3 linked regions of the Arabidopsis thaliana genome follow. The protein of the gene in region 1 purifies or fractionates together with the protein of each later gene. This does not show direct contact. Each region holds a gene or a part of one and is shown in the gene's direction. Other genes may lie near its edges. The genes, in order: AT2G23820, VTC4 and AT3G02860.

The links.
Region 2: the proteins of AT2G23820 (region 1) and VTC4 fractionate together in Arabidopsis thaliana (co-fractionation; one large-scale study listed by BioGRID). This does not show direct contact.
Region 3: the proteins of AT2G23820 (region 1) and AT3G02860 fractionate together in Arabidopsis thaliana (co-fractionation; one large-scale study listed by BioGRID). This does not show direct contact.

The regions. Positions count from the first base shown.
Region 1 is NC_003071.7:10,136,679-10,144,434, forward strand, and holds AT2G23820 (Metal-dependent phosphohydrolase), read left to right. Parts: upstream 1-3,704; 5' UTR 3,705-3,916; coding exon 3,917-4,186; intron 4,187-5,038; coding exon 5,039-5,163; intron 5,164-5,247; coding exon 5,248-5,285; intron 5,286-5,365; coding exon 5,366-5,476; intron 5,477-5,588; coding exon 5,589-5,705; intron 5,706-5,797; coding exon 5,798-5,839; coding exon of another isoform or gene 5,840-5,874; exon of another isoform or gene 5,875-5,923; coding exon 5,924-5,994; 3' UTR 5,995-6,260; downstream 6,261-7,756. Other genes in the region: TET8 (tetraspanin8), read right to left, coding at 168-674; AT2G23830 (PapD-like superfamily protein), read left to right, coding at 6,968-7,019, 7,146-7,216, 7,303-7,384, 7,491-7,606, 7,705-7,756.
Region 2 is NC_003074.8:627,012-634,588, reverse strand, and holds VTC4 (Inositol monophosphatase family protein), read left to right. Parts: upstream 1-4,663; 5' UTR 4,664-4,906; coding exon 4,907-4,919; intron 4,920-5,002; coding exon 5,003-5,058; intron 5,059-5,143; coding exon 5,144-5,194; intron 5,195-5,318; coding exon 5,319-5,399; intron 5,400-5,483; coding exon 5,484-5,587; intron 5,588-5,684; coding exon 5,685-5,769; intron 5,770-5,910; coding exon 5,911-5,965; intron 5,966-6,098; coding exon 6,099-6,142; intron 6,143-6,230; coding exon 6,231-6,299; intron 6,300-6,389; coding exon 6,390-6,490; intron 6,491-6,601; coding exon 6,602-6,658; intron 6,659-6,747; coding exon 6,748-6,847; 3' UTR 6,848-7,077; downstream 7,078-7,577. Other genes in the region: ILR1 (Peptidase M20/M25/M40 family protein), read right to left, coding at 730-1,128, 1,233-1,361, 1,454-1,768, 2,017-2,142, 2,237-2,596; AT3G02860 (zinc ion binding protein), read left to right, coding at 7,432-7,520.
Region 3 is NC_003074.8:621,646-629,007, reverse strand, and holds AT3G02860 (zinc ion binding protein), read left to right. Parts: upstream 1-1,640; 5' UTR 1,641-1,850; coding exon 1,851-1,939; intron 1,940-2,074; coding exon 2,075-2,174; intron 2,175-2,373; coding exon 2,374-2,533; intron 2,534-2,726; coding exon 2,727-3,009; intron 3,010-3,203; coding exon 3,204-3,279; intron 3,280-3,373; coding exon 3,374-3,420; intron 3,421-3,522; coding exon 3,523-3,709; 3' UTR 3,710-3,845; downstream 3,846-7,362. Other genes in the region: VTC4 (Inositol monophosphatase family protein), read left to right, coding at 1-6, 104-188, 330-384, 518-561, 650-718, 809-909, 1,021-1,077, 1,167-1,266; SKOR (STELAR K+ outward rectifier), read left to right, coding at 5,535-5,773, 6,356-6,580, 6,664-6,727, 6,795-7,134, 7,214-7,362. UniProt on the Arabidopsis thaliana protein: Essential for breaking seed dormancy before seed germination. Prevents reactive oxygen species (ROS) accumulation in response to abscisic acid (ABA) and oxidative stress, probably by repressing the accumulation of ABA-induced ROS-scavenging enzymes (e.g.

The DNA.
Region 1 (7,756 bases):
GGCTTTTGTGTTCAAGTCAAAATCAAAAGTTCTTAGATCACAAAAAGAGAACTTTTAAAGGATCAAAAAGCTCAATCTCTTTCTAAGTTCTCAATCACACAATTCACTAAAAACCCTAAAAAAAAAGTTACAAAACTTTAAAATCACATCAAAGTCAAAATTTTTACCTGAAGAGCAGTAAGATGTTCCTTGTAGAAACTATTGACAGGAACATTAACAAACTTGGCTTCAAGCTTAGAACAAACTTTGCTCTCCACAAGACAACTCCTAATCTTATTCCAATTTTTACCATTCTCAACACGTTTCTGTAACCAAGTAGAGTAATCACCAAGTTTATACTCTTTATAACCTTTTCCTTCAATAGCTTCACCAGCTCCTTTGTTAGTAACAACAAAGGCAAAAACTGTTATACAGAACACAAGGAGAATCAAAAGGAACATGACAAAGAGATAAACCCAAAGAAGCCATGTGACTCTACAACATGAACCTATTAGACCAGCTATTGCTACAACCATAAGGAAAACACCAAGAGCAATCACTGGTTTGTCTAGGAATCTTTCACACTCTGTTGACCCTTTTTGGCTTAGCCAGATTCCACCAGCTAAGATTGGGATCGAGAGAAGAAATACTAGGAAATTGAGTATCCCTACGAGATTGTTGCTACAACGAGCCATGGTTTAGATTCAGAGAGAAAGATTGAAACTTTGAGGAACCCTTTAGATGAATTGAGAGAAAGATTGAGAATTTGAAGAACACTGAAACAGAATTTGAGTGGGATTTTGATGGGTTGATGAAACAAGTTTATATAGAGAAGACTGAAACGCGTGAAAGTGAGGAAATTTGGAGAAGGCTATTGCAGAGAAGTTTCGTTTGTTTTGGTTCTAAATTTCTAATTGTCTTTAGGAAGTAGTTGAGACTTGAAGACTTGGTTCATTTAGGAGAATGACTTTTTAACTTCCACGCGCTTTTACGCGAGTGGTGGATATTTTTGGATAATGACTTGTACTTATTTAATTATACTTTTTATTTAGTTTTTTTCTCTTGTGTATATTTTCTTCTATATTTGATCTTATCTTATCATGATTATTAAATAAATATTCATTATCTATAGATTGAATATAACTTGCAATGAAATAATTTCATAAAAAAAAGTAAGACTGACTAATTTTCTCATAATATATAGTTTATGACCATAACTGGTTTTTAGACTAAGTTAAGTAATTATGAGTTTGCAGCTAATTATATAAAATTTAATTTCAGTATAACTAAATAATTAATAAGAAAAAAAATTATAGCAATGTCTTAACAAATAAAAGAAGTTTTGTTTACCACATTTTTATTTTGAAATTTCTTAACTTTTGTAATTTTTATAAATCATTAAAAAAACTTTTATTTTCTTTCCTCAGTTGTGACCTTCTAAAAAATTAAAGACAGATTCTGTTTATGGTTATAAACTTACGATATATAATTTTATTTGTAAATTGTAATACACAACAAACAATCTTATTTGCAATATGCTGAAATTATGATTATTTTTTTGTATCTACAGTTTTTTTAGTTAAACAATTGTTTGAAAAGCATACCTTAGCCTAATATAAAACCATTAAACCTTTGAAAGATCAAATGGCTTTCACTTTCATATGAATATCTTATTTCTACTATGTCAAATAATTGAGTATTTCTTTTTCCTTTTGTTTTTACTTGCGTGAGCAAAATGTAAAGGCTTCCAAAGTCCAATTTGTTTTTGTTTACTCGTAATATTTGTCAACGTTTCTACTCGTATTTTATTTAATGAAATTCAAGTGACTAATATATACATATGCCACTGGAAAATTTGCAATTTGTTTTTATGCTTTTGGAGGCTGCGTTGATACCTAACCTACTTATTATAGAAAATAGACAATGGGAAGAATCAAATGACATGATCTTTTATTTAAAAACATATGTAGATCGTTTGAATCAGGCTGCATGCATTGCTACCTAAGTACCTAACCTACTTGCGTTGTTATTGTTGTTGTGTACTTGTGTTGTTTTTTATTTTTCTTGTTGGATTCCTTTGAAGCACTATTTTAAATTTGTAATATACATTATTATTGGATAACGATTTTTGGTATTTAAAACAATCTATCATAGATTTAAGTGAACTAGATTGTTTTAAATACCAAAAATCGTTATCCAATAATAATGCATATTAATTAGATTGTTTTATGATAATTTCTCAAATAATTTTTTATATTAATAAGATTTGAAATTTTGACAAAAAAATAAATAGATTTGAATAACTTGATTAAATTAAAAATGATAAATAGAAGATAATATTGTAAATATTAACATATGTAAATTAGGAGAATGGATTTAATACATTAAGTGTTACCTAAAAATTTAATCCATTCTCCTAATTTACATATGAAATATTTATATTCTTAGCATAAAAAAAAAGTCCGACTATATTTCAATTTAGATCATTGTTTGAGAAAAATTTCACTTTTTAGGTAAATGACCAATCACGTTACAACATATCAGTATCAAATCCACATAAGACATCCATGTGACACATTGCATATGCAAAGAGAAAACGAGACACCAAAATTTTGTACAAACAATAATCAGTCAATCCGAGGCTACTATATTAAAAAATTCAAAAAAAAAATTGTGATTTAATGATATTTTGAAAGTTTAAGTTTTTTCGTCCTAAATTTGAAAACTGACACATTTTTGATATTTTTACCTTTGATACATCCGTAGAAAAAATATTTACCTACTAAATATTTTCTTATATGTAGCTTATAAGTATAATTATGTGAATAACACTAACTAAAATAGATATTAGTTTATTTAAGTTTGAAAAAAATGTGACGGTTAGCTTCTCATAGCTTGAGTTTTGTGGAAACTTTACTTTATTATATTAAATATCATCATATCACATAATATGATAGTAACAAACTAATTAGTAATGTACCATCAACTTTTCTAGTAGTAAGTACTACTTTGAGGAATCTTGCACTCTGATGATATCAGGAATATGATCATAAACTTCAGAGCATCAACTCCTAGAAGAAACCGAGTGAGGTGGTCCAAATCAACAAACCTGAACACACAAGAACCTTGAATAAGACTTTCCAAATAAAAGTAGAAAAAAAAAACAGAGAATTAGAAATTCAAAAACCATACTCTTATTTTCTGGGACAAGGGTTTTTTTATACCCGAACAATTTACAAAGTGTATTTTCATACCAAAACAAATTTGAAGGATGAATTCATACCCAAACTCCAAAAACATTTGAATTTTATAGCTAAACTTTACATTTAGTGCTTAATTCAAAATCGTAAATAACGAGTATTAGTCAACTGTTACAGTTGCTGAGTCAAATGACATGTATTTGATGTTATACTTCAAAACGACATCGTGTTAAATGTTAGAATTAAAGTTATACAAAATTTTGTAAAAATCAGATATTGAAGCCACGACGTTTCACTCATTTAGGCAGCTTATTAACATTTGATCGACAACTATCATGAGTTCGAGACCTAATTTTTTTGTACAACTCTATAAAATTTTAATTCTAACACTTAAAACGATGTTGTTATAAACTCTTGACCAAACCTAGATATGAAAATACGTTTTTCCCCTGATTTGATGTTAGCCCCACGAAACTCATGACCCGAACCTAGATAGTTTGCTTGTCTTCAAGCAAACGCTGTCCAGATCAACCAAGTGAAGGGACTTATTTTCTTTTTTCCAATGATTCGGAATTCAAGACCCACTACACTATTGGGTCTTCATATAATAAAAGGCCCAATAAAAGTCTCCAGAGGAAACAAAACTAATCGAAACGACGAAACAGTTAAGGTAACAAAGTAAACAAACACGATTCCCAAAACACGAAGAAAGATAAAGCAAAGAAAAAAAAAGAAAGATGAAGAATGTGAATCGAGTCTTCTTCTGCAAATCACTATCTCTCGTCTTCCTCGTTCCTTCTTTCACTCGTTCTCATATCCGATTTACTTACTCCGCCGCCGGTGCTTCTTCTCCTAATCGAGCTATTCACTGCATGGCTTCCGATTCCCCTCAATCCGGAGATGGTTCCGTCTCTTCTCCTCCTAATGTCGCGGCTGTTCCCTCTTCTTCTTCTTCTTCGTCCGCTTCTTCCGCCATTGATTTCCTCTCTCTCTGTACTCGTCTCAAGGTAAGCTTTGATTGATCCGCCTTACATTTTCGCTAAGATCCGGTGGTTTTGTGTGATTATACAACGCAATGTTGGTTAGATGATGCGATTGTTCTTGTTGATGGATTGTGTGGAAATCTGATTTCGTTAGGGAAATGAAACGATTTCAAGCTATGTAGTTACTTTTGATGTTCTTGTTGATGGATTGTATTGGAATCTGTAAATTCGTTTGTGCAATGAAACGATTTCAAGCTTTGTTGTTACTGTGTAGATGTGAAGTTTTTATGTGAATCTGGTTAGTTTTCGCGGTGGTTTCTGTCAATGAACTATTTCTACTCGTAACTTTTGTCTATGGAACCTAGAATTTGATACAGATGTTGGTTTGAAACCTCTAACGCATTGTTTAGATTTATGTGGATGTTTTTTACCAATGTAAGATTGGATCTGTGTTAAGAATGGAGATTATTCTGGTGATGGATTGTAGAAACTCAATGCATTGTAACTGTTTATATAAGATCATTTGTTTTTTAGATTTGTGTGGATGTTTGTTATCAATGTTATGATGGATCTGTGTGGAGATAGCTTGAAACGTTTCGTGCTTAATGGATTGTATTGGAATGTATAGTGGATTGTTACGGAAATGAAACATTGTCAAGCTTGGCTGCATCTGTTGACGGATTGTAGAATTCGTTTAGGGGAATGAAATGATTTCAAGTTTATGTGATTAATGGTCTGTGATTACTAAATCCTTGAAGATGTGAAGTTTGTCATGTGTTTTACTTTTTTGTGAATCAAGTGAGTTTTTGTTTGCTGATTTAACGATAGAGTTTGTGTGCTGTATCGTTTGGTAAACCATCTTTTTATATCAAATAGACAACTCCAAGAGCTGGATGGATTAAGAGAGATGTGAAAGATCCAGAATCTATAGCGGATCACATGTATCGGATGGGTCTTATGGCTCTAATTTCTTCAGATATCCCCGGTGTTAACAGAGACAAGTAAGTTTCTTGCTTGCTTCTCTCTTTTCAAGTTTCAACTGCTGTGAAAAAACTCTTCTTATATACATACTTTTCTTTCTATAGATGCATGAAAATGGCGATTGTTCATGATATTGCAGAAGGTTAGTTCTTTCACTTTTAGAGATTTTTAATCATCGATTTTCTTAATCACGAGTTATTTAGTCGAGTTGTTGTTGAGCAGCCATTGTAGGAGACATTACACCTTCTTGTGGGATATCTAAAGAAGAGAAAAACCGAAGAGAAAGCGAAGCACTTGAGCACATGTGCAAACTCTTGGGTGGAGGCGAAAGAGGTCTGTTTCTCTTCTATTGTTGAAATACCTTATGTATCTTCGTTCGACCTTCTTATGCTCATTTGTATAACACTTATCATCACTTCTAAAAATGTATATATCGTAATTGCAGCAAAAGAAATCGCTGAGCTTTGGAGAGAATACGAAGAGAACTCTTCACCTGAAGCCAAAGTTGTTAAAGATTTCGATAAAGTTGAGCTGATACTACAAGCTTTGGAATATGAACAAGGTAATGAATGACCAATAAAAGAAACTCTCTTTCGATAAGAGATTTAGCAGAAACTAATACTCATATTGTTTTTTGTTTGCTATTTAACGCAGATCAAGGGAAAGATCTAGAAGAGTTTTTCCAATCAACAGCAGGTAATTTTTGTTGTATGTCATTATACTCTAAATAGATAATCTGAATATGGTTGAAGGCTTTAAGCTTGTTACTGTTTGATTCAGGGAAGTTCCAGACTAATATAGGCAAGGCTTGGGCGTCGGAGATTGTTTCAAGAAGACGAAAGCAACATTAGTTCTCACTTGACTCTTTCTTTTTGTTTCTTAACGTCTAGCTCAGTGGAGTTCAAATACTCGTACGTTTCAAATTTAATCATCTTAAGGTTTTTCTAATAATCTTCGTAGCTGTCTTTACTTGTTTTGTTACTATCACTAATAAAAGATAGCTAGCTAGTGACTATCTTATAGATAGCTAATGAAGATCAAAAAACTTAATCAAGCTCTTAAATTTTATTTTAAGAAAGTATCATTGGTTCCTCAATATAAATTTTCGGATCGTTAATAGAGGTCAAATGATTTTTCTTTGTTTTGTTTTGTTTCAAGATTTTGCACGGGTTAAAAGTTGAATAAGAATAACGAATAGAGTATAGACACTTCATAAAGTGTAGTTTCCCTGCCACACTTAGATCTCCTACTAACCTCACTTAGATTAGATTTCTCTCTAGTCTAAAAGTCTTTAAACCTTTTACCATTGGGTTTCACAAAATTAACATTAGTAGTTATGTCTTTTCTTTTTAAAAACATATTTTAGAATAAACCATATCTCCAACCGAAAACTCCAAACTCTCTCCGACGCTTATCCGCATAGTTCTTTTGTCGATTTTGAGCTTCTTTTATCTTAACCTTTAAGATTTTGATTTTTTCCGATGTTCATGTTATTAACCACAAGTCTACAATTAAATTATTATATTTTTTTAAAAATGATTCTTGCGCGAGAAGCTACTTAGTGGACTCGGAAGGAGAAGGGAAATTGGTAGAGGTTTTAATTTGCAAAACTTATAATAATATAATAGTAGTAGTCGTAACAAATGGTTTAGCTGATTATTCAACATGGAACTTTTCAAAGAATGTTTCAGTTTTAGTTGAACAGACAATTTTTACCCTTGTCGTAACAAGACAAATAACGATTTTTCCGACTCTCTTCATTCGATCTCTCTCCCTCTCCCTCTCTCGATCGGAAAAGTTTGAATCTCCGGCGATCTTCTCAAGATGAGTAACAACGAGCTTCTCGAAATCGAGCCTATGTATCTTCAATTCCCTTGTAAGTTTTTTTTTTGACTTTTTCTTGTTTTCCCTGATTTTGCATGTCTTTCTTGTCCATAACCAGATTTTGTTGAGTTATGGTTTACTATTAAATTTCGCTATTCACTTGGCTGAGTTGATGTAGTTGAATTGAAGAAGCAGATGTCTTGCTCTCTTTACTTGACGAACAAGACAGACAATAACGTGGCCTTTAAGGTAAAACAAAGTTTTCCGAGTCATTAAATTGTCGTGATTATCTCGTGTTTCTAAGGTTTCTCGTGATTCTCTTTATTTTATTTGAGGTTAAGACGACAAATCGGAACAACTATTGCGTTAGGCCTAATTATGGACTTATTCTTCCAAAGTCGACTTGTAAAGTTCTTGGTCCGTTCTCTAATCGTTTTCTTGGGGAAACTTTTTTTCCCCCTTCAACTGCCAAACTTGTTCTTGGACTAGGAATTTGATGAATCTTTATTTGTTGTTTGTCTAGTGACCATGCAAGCTCAAAAGGAAGTTCCTTCTGATATGCAGAGCTTTGAAAAGTTTATGATTCAAAGTGTACTGGCTAGTCCTGGAGTCACAGCCAAAGAAGTTACTCGTGAGATGGTACTGATTCACATTGTTGATTTGATGAATAATTCACACTTTGGCTTTTGGTTCCTTAAAGCATTTGTTTCGTTTTTTTCTGATGAGCAACTTTGCAGTTTAGCAAAGAATCAGGGCATGTAGTTGAGGAGACTAAACTGAGAGTTACTT
Region 2 (7,577 bases), on another chromosome or scaffold:
GAGAAAAAGGAAAAAAAGAAAAGTTACTAATTGGAATATTTCCTTTTTGACAAAAAAGTTAAAAGAGAATCTTATGTATTTAATTTGACAGCTAATTTACAGAAAGATAATTAATTAATTATAAGGTTATGACTTATGAATACTAGTTGTAACAATTTTATCAGAGTCAACTATATTTGCGTTACATAAATGACAATAAATCACTGCAGTAATGTTTTTTGTAGACGTTTAAACGACCTCTGTTTTTCCTTTCTTTTGTATTAGATCAATAAATTAGGTCTAATTAAAAAATTAATGGTCGTTATCGTTTTGTTTCTTTTATGTTTTTTTTTTTTGCAGGTTGAGTGTGACCAAAGACATGCCAGGTCTGTCAAATGTGTCTGAGCTACCGTTGACAAACAAAGATTAGCCTCTCCGACACCGTTTTTATTTCTGATATAAGTTTGTACCATAGACATTTTTTTTTTTTTTTTATGTATTTGTTGTATCAATTTGAAAGGAAGGTAATAGAAATGGTCAACAGAGAACTTAAGAAGTGGTATTCATTTTGAAGATTTCAATTGTTCAATTTTTAAAACTCTTACATCAAATTTATTTTAATAGAAGTGGTTGGTTTCTCGTGACTATTAACAAACATTCTTCCCAACCCGAAACCTAACCTCACCTAACTTTCAAGTTCAAATACAAATAGATGATGACTAATATAAGCTGATTTTCTCCCAACACCTTCTATAATTCACTCTTAACCTCTTCTTCATGGCTATGACCATGTTCGTCCAAATAAGAAACGGCCATAGCTGCGTGAAGAGCAGCCCCAACAGGAAGAGCTTCTTCATCAACAAAGAAGTAAGGCGAGTGAAGCGGCTTACCAGCGCCTAGCGTCTCATTCTTTACCCCCAGCACGAAAATCGCAGCCTTAGTCTTTTGAGTGAAGAAGCTGAAATCCTCTCCTCCCATTGTCACCGGGAAATCATGGAAGTTATTCTTTCCAATCATCGCTTCCGCTACTTTTTTACCGTGCTCGTATAAGCCCTCGTCGTTATTCATTACCGGGTGAAGCGACGGCTTTTTCTCTTCGAAGTTTACTTCTGCTTTGCATCGGTATACCGATGCTTGTGCCTCTGAAATCTGCATCATCATCAAGAAACATTTAAACAGGGTTAGGGACCTACATTATTCGAATAGTAGAACAAGATTGTATAGAAAAATGGTGTAAAAAACAATCTCTTTACCTCTTTGATCCGTCTTTGGATAAATAGAAGCCCATCGTTGCTTAAGCTTCTGAAAGTACCTCCAAATTTCGCACTCTGCGGTATTACGTTTTGAGCATGACCTCCTTCAATATATCCAACTGTAACCACCTGAGAAACATAAAAAAACCAATCTCCGCTGATTTCAGCCAAGATTCTGATTCATCAAACACCAATGCTTTGAAAGTGGAAAGCAAACTTACACCAGCTTCGAGTGGATCCAGTTCCCGCGAAACAATCTGTTGCAAGGCAACAACAGCGGAAGAAGCTGCAAGAACCGGGTCTTTAGAGAAGTGCGGTGTAGCTGCGTGGCTACCTTGACCGTGAACCGTGACTGTAAACAATCCTGCACCTGCAAGAACGGTCCCAGGCCTAGAACCAATACCACCTGATGGGATCGATGGAAAGACATGAACACTGAGTATCCCATCTAAGTCGTCTAGAATCTCGTCTTTTAGCATTTCATAAGCACCTGCATAACCTTCCTCGCCTGGTTGAAACACAAGTTTTACTGTCCCCTGTTGCAAAAAAATTGTGTTTTCGTTCAAAACCCTCATAAGATTCACCAAACTCTCATAAGACACACACACTAACAACTCTAGAAAACACACACACATAACAATTAGCAATCAAAGACATACACACACATATATCTAAGAATCTTAGAAAACACTAACCCACATCGAAATGAGTTTTAATTGCAGGGCACAGACAGAATCATTCAAAATTATACATATAAATTGAGTGAAAGAGAAAAAAGAGAGACCTTGATGAGGTGTTTTGTGGTTTGAAGAAGCTTAGCAGCACCAAGAAGCATAGCAACATGAGTATCATGACCACAAGCATGCATCTTTCCATCTACTTTACTTTTCGATTCCCATTCCACTAATTCCTTTTTTTGTCCCCATTTTTTCAAATTCATTAGTCAAACAAAGCAATCTAAAAATCAGAGTAAAAATCGGAACTTTGATTATTAGATTTCAAACCTGTAACGGAAGTGCGTCCATGTCGGCTCTAAGTCCGAAAACAGGTTTCGAACAGGATCCGATCCAAGCGACGACGCCAGTCTTCGCCACAGGATACTTATACTTCACTCCAAGCGAGTCAAGCTCGTCTCGAACGAGTTGACTCGTTTTGAACTCCTGAAACCCTGTCTCTGGGTTCTCATGAATCTTTCTCCTAATTCCTCTCATCCACTCGAAGAACTCAGGATCCTTGGCTGAATGAAGCATCCCGCGAGCGAGTGACTCGAGACCCGAACCAGAATCGTAGCTCCCAGCTGAAGACAGAGGAGGGAGAAAGAAGAAGGTAACGAAGATGACAAAGAAGCTCCCTGAGAAATCCATTCTGATTTCTTTTGTTTGTCGATGTAAACTGGCAAGTGTCAATGAAAGAAAGGACAACGGTGAATACGATGATGATGAAGGAGAAGGAGTTGGATCACCGATCCATTTTTAATATTTATATAGTACGTAATTTACACACGTTTTTGGAAACTCTTTTAATCGTTTTTAAATACGTATACGCCTCTAATGTGAAATTCATAATTTATGGTTGTAATGTGAAGAAAATAATGAAATACCAAAGATAAAATATGAAAATGATACAATGTAGTATATTTACGGTATAAAAGGAATATTTACTTGAAATGAATTAGTACGTTTAATACACGATTTTACCATTTATGTTAATGAAAATTAACACTTTTAAAATAAAACATGGCATGAATTAGAGTTGTGAGAATCACATGTAGGCCTTTAAGGTTCTTAAATTTTTAATTCCTTATAACATAGGCCCATGTATTTGATTGACATATAGGCCATTGGGTTCTTCGACTTTTAAATTACTTATAACAAAGGCCCACCTATTTGAAGCGCATTGTTAAACATTTTGTTTATATTTTGATTATGATCGAAAATTCTCTAGAACAATTCGTACAAAAGAAGCTGTTTACGAAAGTAGCTGTACATGCGAACATAATCAATAAAAATGTAAATGACTAATGAAACATCAGAATATCCGTACAAAATTGTGACTTTATATTATTTAGTTATAGGTACAAAGTTGTGGAGAGTAAAAAAATAAAAAAGGTAAAAAGTTGTGGAATAGACCTATGAAACAATCACAAACATACAACCAAAATGCAAATTGTAATTACGCAACAGAGGCTTTCTTTTCAAGGAAGTCAAGTGTAAGATTTGCAAATGCCCCAATTATTATTTGAGAGAAAAAGGGATATTGCTAATCACAATTAACGGTCACATTACAATTCCCTTTTTTCTCTGTTATTTCCTCTTCTTTCACAATTAAGTTCTTAACGGTCACATAAATATTTTGTTTTTTATATAATGAGTTTAATTAAGTTGAAGAATCAACTGATAAGGTTGATGATCCGATCCTCAAAAGTATACTAACCACAACACTGTCTACGTTCATGTTAGTACCTACTTCAAAGTCCATGTACGTTGGGACTGGCTGTATCTTCCGCCGAGAGCAGCAGAGAGCGTCATCGCTGTCTTGGAACGAGAGAAAGGTCGAGACTATCTCTAAGGCAACCAAAAGCTTAGCTATGATGAAGACATCTTTCTCTCTCTCTTTGCCTATGAATGGAGAATACAACAAATAATATAAAGTGATGGACATTTCTATGCTTTGCTTCTCTTCTCCAAAGAGAAATAGATGAAAAAGATTGTTGATTTTCGTTTCTCTCGAAGAAGAAGAAAGAAGAAGAAGGTGAATAGAGACTTTTGATTTCTCAAGAATGAACAAGTAGATTGTAGAGTGTTAGTGTTTAGTTCTGTTCTTAGGTTGCAGAGATTGTGTATGTGTGGCGTTTGATGTCTCGTGTTGGAGAGGTGGTCTCGTTTAGAGTGTTAGTGTTTAGTTCTGTTCTTCTGTTGATCTGTGTTTTTTTTAAATGTAAATTACACAAGTATGCAAAACAAATCTCTTCTCAGAAAGGGGCTACTGTTATATCATGAGATTTATAAGACAAAATGTAAAATATCGGAAAAATAAAACAACATAATTTTGGTGTTGAATGAGTTTTTCTTGTCCACACAACGGCAGAAGCAGTAGACGATTGTTCCTTTGTCTCTTGATCACAAACCGATTTCAAAGTGTTCTTCGCATTTTTCTCATCAATGTAAGTGAACCAGCCAGAGAAAGACAAGTATGCACCAATATCATTCCGGCCCCATATTCAGAATAAATTAGAACATCTTTTTCCTTCCGTGTTATGCACTTGTTCTAAAAAAAAAGAATTCCGGCCCATATTCAGAATAAGGAGTCCAGTCCAATAGTCTCAAGTCCAAACCCGACTCGGGTCTGTCCGACCCGGAAAAGAGAACTGATTACAGAATGCGGGTTTTGTCAAGAGAAAGTTGGATGATAAAATTGAGGTGAAATCTAATCTTCAAATGATCATTGGTTAGCTTTTTGTATAACGGATTTTCTGAAATCCTCTTATTTCCCATATCGGACCGTGATTATTGGGTGATTTCGGATGCCTAATTGGGTAATTAATATAATACAGTATAAGATTAGATGCCTCGAATATTCGCTCTGTGCCTAACCACAAAAACCGTAACTTTTGGTTTTCTCTGAAACACATCCCAAAGTAAAGAAAGCATCACTCTTTTCGTCTTCTCTCGAAAATGGCGGACAATGGTAAAGTCACGATCAATCTCTGCAAACCTTATTTGATTTCCCTGTTTCCTCATTTTCTTTCGGGCGACATTGATTTGACGCAGATTCTCTAGATCAGTTTTTGGCTGCCGCCATTGATGCCGCTAAAAAAGCTGGACAGGTCTATCTTTCGATCTCCTTGAGTTTTGATCGATATTTTGGCTAATCGTTATTTAATCTGGCTCCTTTTGGTTTGCGTTCTGCAGATCATTCGTAAAGGGTTTTACGAGACTAAACATGTTGAACACAAAGGCCAGGTTTTTGTTTCTTTCCTCCGCTCAGATAATGTTTCAATCACTCAATAAGTGGGAATGGCTACTTAAGAGTGTCAATTTTTTTTTTGAAATTATCTTCTATGGCTCCTTAAATTGTTGCTTTTAGGTGGATTTGGTGACAGAGACTGATAAAGGATGTGAAGAACTTGTGTTTAATCATCTCAAGCAGCTCTTTCCCAATCACAAGGTGGTGATTATTTCTTCTTTTGAATTCCCATTTTGTTGGCTTCTTCCTCGCGTTGATCATTAGAGTTTTGCTATAATTTATTAGTTCATAGGAGAAGAAACTACAGCTGCATTTGGTGTGACAGAACTAACTGACGAACCAACTTGGATTGTTGATCCTCTTGATGGAACAACCAATTTCGTTCACGGGTATTATCATTATTGATCAATTCCCATTTGAATGACCTGTGTGTTTCATTTGCCCATTTCATCAAAAACAAAAACAAATGCTGTTTTTTTTTTGTAGGTTCCCTTTCGTGTGTGTTTCCATTGGACTTACGATTGGAAAAGTCCCTGTTGTTGGAGTTGTTTATAATCCTATTATGGAAGAGGTAAAAGATTGTGTATTCCATTGTTTCAAGTTTCTTCGATCGTTACAACTTACCATTATACATAGTTTCCTTGATGGTGCTCTGTACATGCATGTTTCAAGATTTTTCTCAATTCTTACATAATATCTAATGATCAAACAGCTATTCACCGGTGTCCAAGGGAAAGGAGCATTCTTGAATGGAAAGCGAATCAAAGGTTAGCACTTGTTCTAGAGACCTAATAAAAAATTTCTTGATCTCTTTTTATGGCATCCGGAGTATAGCTATCACTTGTTCAGAGACTTGAGTTCTCTTCCTTCTTTTCAACTCAAACAATGTTCTTTTTGCAGTGTCAGCTCAAAGCGAACTTTTAACCGCTTTGCTCGTGACAGAGGTAAAAATCTGGCTCCTTTGTGTTAGACTACTAAAACTAGATTGCTATGAAGCCTCCTCTCATCGCTAATGTGACCAATTGAATATAGGCGGGTACTAAACGAGATAAAGCTACATTAGACGATACAACCAACAGAATCAACAGTTTGCTAACCAAGGTAAAAGTTTATCGATAGATATTTGGAACTCCACCAATTTGGTTCTAGTCTCTGCCAAAACTCATGATTGTTGTGTCCTTCATTCATCAGGTCAGGTCCCTTAGGATGAGTGGTTCGTGTGCACTGGACCTCTGTGGCGTTGCGTGTGGAAGGGTTGATATCTTCTACGAGCTCGGTTTCGGTGGTCCATGGTAAATTGTCTTCTTTTTTTTTTCCTTGCTTGGATTAAAAAAGGGGATTTCTTTCTTGTACAAACAAAATTAGATCCTGATGATGGCATAATAATATCAAATCTTTCACAGGGACATTGCAGCAGGAATTGTTATCGTGAAAGAAGCTGGTGGACTCATCTTTGATCCGTAAGAGTTTGAGATTAAACCAAACACACTCACTCTCAAACCGTCCAACTGATTATAACTAACTGTTTTATGTCGTCTTTGTTCATCAGATCCGGTAAAGATTTGGACATAACATCGCAGAGGATCGCGGCTTCAAACGCTTCTCTCAAGGAGTTATTCGCTGAGGCGTTGCGGCTTACAGGGGCATGAAGTCATCTGTTATTATTTTACAATATGGTCTCAACCTTATATGATCAAACTCAATTCAAAAACTTAACATTATTGAATATTTCTTTTCGGTAGAAAGAAAACAAACTCAATTGTTGAGAAAAAAAAAAAACTATTTTCTTTCTGCTACCCTTTGTGAATTCAATTAAAAAAAAATCATATGTTTGGTATTGAATGATATAATTCTGTTCTTCCATGTAGTTGATCTTTGTAATCGAGTTTGCATTTTTTTTTTTTTTATAAAAGGTGGAGTTTAAGGTATTTTGTGATCCATACTAAATTAACAACAGAGGAAAATGGGGATAATGAGTCCGGCCCAGTTACGACTAACGACCCAGAAGCATCCCGAAAGTCTCAAGTCTAATCCCGAGTTGGATCGACCCGACCCGTAAAAGAGAAGAGATTGCGGAGAAGAACGGAGGGAGGAATTTTGATTCTCACGGTGACTGTTGTCCTCCTCTAAGGACTTAGGGTTTGATTTGAATAGAACAAATTTCTCAGATCTTCGTATTCCTTGCGAGGTTGTGATAATTTGGGAGTTGCGTGGGTTGCTACGAAGGAGAGTGATGGATGCTCAAGCGAAGAAGAAGGCCATGTTCCGGTCTAAACTCAACGCCAAGAAGAAAGACACCCGCATAGATTCTCCTCTCGTTAGGTAAACCGTTGTTAGCTTCTTCTTCTCTTCGTTTCGATGTCACTTCTGGGTTTCTAC
Region 3 (7,362 bases), on another chromosome or scaffold:
TCACGGGTATTATCATTATTGATCAATTCCCATTTGAATGACCTGTGTGTTTCATTTGCCCATTTCATCAAAAACAAAAACAAATGCTGTTTTTTTTTTGTAGGTTCCCTTTCGTGTGTGTTTCCATTGGACTTACGATTGGAAAAGTCCCTGTTGTTGGAGTTGTTTATAATCCTATTATGGAAGAGGTAAAAGATTGTGTATTCCATTGTTTCAAGTTTCTTCGATCGTTACAACTTACCATTATACATAGTTTCCTTGATGGTGCTCTGTACATGCATGTTTCAAGATTTTTCTCAATTCTTACATAATATCTAATGATCAAACAGCTATTCACCGGTGTCCAAGGGAAAGGAGCATTCTTGAATGGAAAGCGAATCAAAGGTTAGCACTTGTTCTAGAGACCTAATAAAAAATTTCTTGATCTCTTTTTATGGCATCCGGAGTATAGCTATCACTTGTTCAGAGACTTGAGTTCTCTTCCTTCTTTTCAACTCAAACAATGTTCTTTTTGCAGTGTCAGCTCAAAGCGAACTTTTAACCGCTTTGCTCGTGACAGAGGTAAAAATCTGGCTCCTTTGTGTTAGACTACTAAAACTAGATTGCTATGAAGCCTCCTCTCATCGCTAATGTGACCAATTGAATATAGGCGGGTACTAAACGAGATAAAGCTACATTAGACGATACAACCAACAGAATCAACAGTTTGCTAACCAAGGTAAAAGTTTATCGATAGATATTTGGAACTCCACCAATTTGGTTCTAGTCTCTGCCAAAACTCATGATTGTTGTGTCCTTCATTCATCAGGTCAGGTCCCTTAGGATGAGTGGTTCGTGTGCACTGGACCTCTGTGGCGTTGCGTGTGGAAGGGTTGATATCTTCTACGAGCTCGGTTTCGGTGGTCCATGGTAAATTGTCTTCTTTTTTTTTTCCTTGCTTGGATTAAAAAAGGGGATTTCTTTCTTGTACAAACAAAATTAGATCCTGATGATGGCATAATAATATCAAATCTTTCACAGGGACATTGCAGCAGGAATTGTTATCGTGAAAGAAGCTGGTGGACTCATCTTTGATCCGTAAGAGTTTGAGATTAAACCAAACACACTCACTCTCAAACCGTCCAACTGATTATAACTAACTGTTTTATGTCGTCTTTGTTCATCAGATCCGGTAAAGATTTGGACATAACATCGCAGAGGATCGCGGCTTCAAACGCTTCTCTCAAGGAGTTATTCGCTGAGGCGTTGCGGCTTACAGGGGCATGAAGTCATCTGTTATTATTTTACAATATGGTCTCAACCTTATATGATCAAACTCAATTCAAAAACTTAACATTATTGAATATTTCTTTTCGGTAGAAAGAAAACAAACTCAATTGTTGAGAAAAAAAAAAAACTATTTTCTTTCTGCTACCCTTTGTGAATTCAATTAAAAAAAAATCATATGTTTGGTATTGAATGATATAATTCTGTTCTTCCATGTAGTTGATCTTTGTAATCGAGTTTGCATTTTTTTTTTTTTTATAAAAGGTGGAGTTTAAGGTATTTTGTGATCCATACTAAATTAACAACAGAGGAAAATGGGGATAATGAGTCCGGCCCAGTTACGACTAACGACCCAGAAGCATCCCGAAAGTCTCAAGTCTAATCCCGAGTTGGATCGACCCGACCCGTAAAAGAGAAGAGATTGCGGAGAAGAACGGAGGGAGGAATTTTGATTCTCACGGTGACTGTTGTCCTCCTCTAAGGACTTAGGGTTTGATTTGAATAGAACAAATTTCTCAGATCTTCGTATTCCTTGCGAGGTTGTGATAATTTGGGAGTTGCGTGGGTTGCTACGAAGGAGAGTGATGGATGCTCAAGCGAAGAAGAAGGCCATGTTCCGGTCTAAACTCAACGCCAAGAAGAAAGACACCCGCATAGATTCTCCTCTCGTTAGGTAAACCGTTGTTAGCTTCTTCTTCTCTTCGTTTCGATGTCACTTCTGGGTTTCTACAATTCCAAATATTTGTGGGTTCTGGGGATTGGGCTTGAGCTGTAGTTGGGATGAAGAGTTTGTTCTTTGGATTTGTAGGTACAACGAATCAGACCAGCCTGTGTGTCGAGTTTGCAATGTCGTCTTGAAATCTGAATCACTCTGGGATGTACATCAAGCTTCTCGTAAGCACCACGAGGTAAACTTAGTGTCTTCTGCTCCATAAGCTTTACTTCACAATCTCTTATAACCTGAGTAACAACAATGGGATATTTGATAAATTACATACATTGAAGATAGGTAGATTTCATGCTCTTATATGATTTTATGCGTTAGATTCTCTGTTTTATGTTCTTTAATCTTATTAACTTAGCTTTCGTAATGTAACGTTTGGACAGGCCATTGATAGTCTCAAGGCTAGTGCAGCGGGAGTCCAACGGGGTAGCAAACCTGCTGAAACTCGGCCAACGAAAATTGAAGCTTTGGCTAAATCATCCAATTCTCAGACATCATCTGGTCTTCCGCCAAATTTCTTCGAAAATCGTGAGCCTGCTAGAGGTAATGACTAATGCACTTTCCTCTTCTTGTTCTTATCTTTTTCGAATAATTTTCTTAGTAGAAGGCTTTTGGTTTAGGTGCTAGTTATGTGGATGCCATGCTTAAAGGCTCTAGTCTTAGGTTTTTTGAAAGATTGATGATAGTTTCATTCGTCAATCGAAAAAAAAAACTTATTGATCAAATATATGTGCAGCAGAAGTAGAACCAGCAAAATCCAAGAATTTAGAGCAATCAAAGCACACTATAGGATCTGAAACAAATAAGTCAAAGGGACCTCTTCCAGCCGGATTCTTTGATAATCAGAAAACTGATTCTTCAAATACCAAAACCACCAGTGAACCTAAACAGAGTCAGACACAGACCACTGGTCCAGAAACAAAACCAATGGTGAATGGAAACCTTCCAACCGGTTTTTTTGATAATAAAGAAGCTGACCTGCTTGCCCATGGAATCAAGCTCGTCAAACCAGATATCAAGTGAGTTTCTTCTCTTTTTTTTTTTGTTGCTTTTACTTTTCCAGATGCAGAAAATCAAAGTGAAACCTCATTGTTGTGGACCTTGTGATCCAGTTACTTTCCTACATTCTCAATTTGAATGGTTCATATGATCTTATGGGTTTGTACCTAAGAATTCTCTTCGTGAACTTATATAAACATGGATCTTCTTACAGGGATGAATATAAAGAATTTGAGAAGTTGATACAAGATGATTTGCAGGTAGTGGATAGCCGCATGGAAGAAGAAGAGGTCAGATAACTTTCTGTCACTATGATAAATTGCTGACAGTATCATAAGCTCTTTCTTAAACTTAAAATCGCTTTTCTCGCACTCTAATTGTCAGGTTGATGCTGCGGAAACTATAGAAGAGGAGGAACAACGAGAGCAAAGGTAATTTGATTCATTACTTTGTTATAGCAAGAAGATGGAAATGTTGAGACTTGTTTAAGATTAAGTAAACACTTGGCTTCTCCTTTTAATCTTATTCTGCAGATCATACAAAGAGAAAGTAGAGATTCTGAAGAGGAAGAAAATGGAACTTAAAGCGGCAAGATTAGCGAAGCGCAGTAAAACCTCTGAGGGGTCTGTTAAAAAGCCGAAGAAGACAGAAGAAGAATCGCCCAGCGATGAGGAGGATGACGAGGATTCTGCTGTTGATTGGAGAGCTCAACATCTTTGAATAAACTAGAAAAGACTGTTTAAAAATCTGTACCCTGGTAAAACATACAATGTTCTATGAGAATATACAGTGAAAACTAATCAATCTCATATATATACAATTATCAGTTTCAGAGGATCAATTGGTATTTGAGGTATAGTTATCGGTTAATGGGTATAATTCAAGAACGTAATTTTCATAACCAGAGTTGCCAAAAAGGCCGAAATATCTGGGGATGAAACCTGAAACTGTGGCAGTTCCGACCAGTTTCAGGTGATAAACTAAAAAAAAAAAAGTGATTATGACTGGTGGTCGTATCATTCTAGTTTTGAGTGAGAATGTTTCAGATATTGATCATTTGGTGGCACAAAACATAATGACGAAAGTGGTAAATTTAACAATCATCTTTAAAGTTAAAACTCTTATTATTGTTAAACAAATACATGTGGAATAATAAATAATTGAGACAATTCCAGAAACCAATTAGGGGTCAAATATGTCGAGAAACTAATTAGGGGTCAAGTATTGAAGAAGGAAGAAGACCACTAACTAAACATATTCATATTTTTTTGTGAATTTTTGGACTATTTGTGATTACCAACCATATGCTTATATAACTTATAAAAAAAATGCATTAGGCTTTCCACTATAAACCATTGACATTTGAAATATTTAAATCAAGATATATGCATAACCAAAAAAAAAAGGGTTATGTTATCTTGTTTATAACTTGAAAAGGAGTCCACAAAACAAAGAGAGAGAGAACAGCCAAAGCAAAGGTCGGTTAATGCACAATCGATGATATAACAAATATCCCATTAGAACATAAAATTAGTTAACTAATTACTTCTGACCTAACTGAATGCACTCAATCTCCTATAATACCTTAACATTATCTAGCTTGACTAATCATATAAATTGTCACGTGAATTTTCTAATGGTAAAGTGTTTCACAACGGGAATCAAAGTTTAGGGACATTTCAGTTTAGAGTCTATCCATCATAACACTTGTATCCCAACTTGGTTTTTCCAAATTTGTTTTAGATAAAATACCATTTTTCGAATTCATCGTCTTCATGTGAATTTTAGGAAAAAAAGAGTGACAAAACACACACACGCACACACACATCGGCTTCGACCTACATAACCAAACGATATCTTGTAAAATACCACACACAATCACAAGTGTTTAATCTTATGATCTCTAATCTCTTATGCATGTTTAAACGTGATAAAGGAGAAATCGTTTAGCATTAGAAAGAAAGAAACATTTACGAATAAAATGATCGAAAAAGTGACTTCCTCGAACTTTATCACATCACGATACCTTATCACATGTACGTAACACGTAATGACTTATTGTTTATCTTGTGGTTATAAAAGACTCTCTTATCATTTATATGGTGCTCTTCATAGGTCATTCTAAAAATAAACCCATATCTCACTGGTTCACCTTATTTTTTAAAACATATTATTATTCTTTTACACTACGTTATCTTTTATTATGACCATAAAAATATTAATATAGCATGGGCTTTTTGAATCACAATTTGAACTTTTAATGTAAAAAATAAACAACAGCACTAACAAAAAAAAACCGAAAATTTGTGTATAAATTTCGCCGATTCCATGGTGTTGTTCATCGAATTAACTTGAGTTGCTATTTTTTTCTCTATCTGATAAGTTTCGAAATTTGAAAACACAGGCGCCAATTTTAGGCATATAACTGAAAATCACAAAAAGGAAATAAGAGAGAAAGAGAGAGAAAGAGAAAGAGAGAGAAAAACAGAGAGGTTGTCTTCTTCGTCAAATATCCGATTATCTGGTATCGTGATTCGGAGGTGTAATGGGAGGTAGTAGCGGCGGCGGAGTTTCTTATCGTAGCGGCGGCGAATCAGACGTGGAATTAGAGGATTACGAGGTTGATGATTTCAGAGATGGGATTGTAGAATCGCGAGGAAACAGATTCAATCCTCTCACCAATTTCTTAGGGTTAGACTTCGCCGGCGGTAGCGGTGGAAAGTTCACCGTCATTAATGGAATCAGAGATATCTCCAGAGGCTCCATTGTTCATCCCGATAACCGGTACACCATAAATTCTCGTCACGCTTTTGAATTTTGTTTTCTGAGTCCTTTAACTTTTAATAGTTTCATAAGTAGGCCTTATGTTTTATTTTGTATTATTCTAGTCCACTTACTTTGTTATATGGATTTTAGGGTAGGTATTGATTAATTTCTTTTTTTCTTTATACTGAGACTAAATCTTATAGAAATCAATCTTCCTATATATTTTGAAGCTACGTACTACTTTTATTAGAGAAATTTTGAAGGAAATTTGTTAGCTTAACAACTTTCGGGGTCAATTGTAGTGCAAACAAAAACATTAGGGGCTTGATTGTGGATTTAACCTTCCTTTTTAGTGTAATAACATTTTCTTCGGTTATTCATTCATTTCCCGCCACTTTATGACACGTATCAGTTTCTCAATGGTTACAAATGATCGTTGGTTAAAAATGTAACAACCATGAGTCTGTACACGTCAGACCAGATTAAAGAAGAAAACTCTGTTTCGCTGAAGTTTGGAGCAATAATAGAAGTAGACTAAGTAGTGAGTTTAGTTTAGCTACTAAATACTCTGTCCGGATCTAAAGATTCTTGAATTTGCAGGTGGTACAAGGCGTGGACGATGTTTATATTGATATGGGCACTTTATTCTTCCTTCTTCACTCCATTGGAATTCGGATTCTTCAGGGGATTACCAGAGAATCTGTTCATCCTCGATATCGCTGGCCAAATCGCTTTCTTAGTAGATATTGTCTTGACATTCTTCGTTGCTTATCGTGATAGCCGAACTTATAGAATGATCTATAAACGCAGCTCAATTGCTTTACGGTATTCAAACTCTACTCTGTTTCTGTTTTCTTGCTATCTACTCAATGAGATTAACCTCTTCATGGTGTTTGTCAATTTTGTAGGTACTTAAAATCAACTTTTATAATTGACTTACTTGCTTGCATGCCATGGGATATCATCTACAAGGTATACACTTTTTACTCTTTTGATTTTGCGGGAAACGGAGAATTTGAAACTGTGAATTTGAAAACAGGCTGCAGGCGAAAAAGAAGAAGTGAGATACCTATTGTTGATAAGGCTATATCGAGTTCATAGAGTAATCCTGTTTTTCCACAAAATGGAGAAAGATATAAGAATCAATTACCTTTTTACAAGAATCGTCAAGCTTATATTCGTCGAGCTTTATTGCACTCACACCGCAGCTTGTATCTTCTATTACTTGGCCACGACGCTTCCTGCTTCTCAAGAAGGGTACACTTGGATTGGAAGCTTGAAGTTAGGAGATTACAGTTACTCGAAGTTTAGAGAGATCGATCTCTGGACTCGATACACTACTTCTATGTACTTTGCAGTTGTTACTATGGCAACTGTTGGTAAGTTCTGATAACTGAAAACTTGGTGAATATATCGTTTGCTTTCATTCCTTAACTTGGTATGTTTCTTATAATGCAGGTTATGGAGATATACACGCGGTTAATATGCGGGAAATGATATTCGCGATGGTCTACATTTCATTCGATATGATTCTAGGAGCTTACTTGATTGGTAACATGACAGCTTTGATTGTAAAAGGTTCGAAAACAGAGAGATTCCGGGATAAG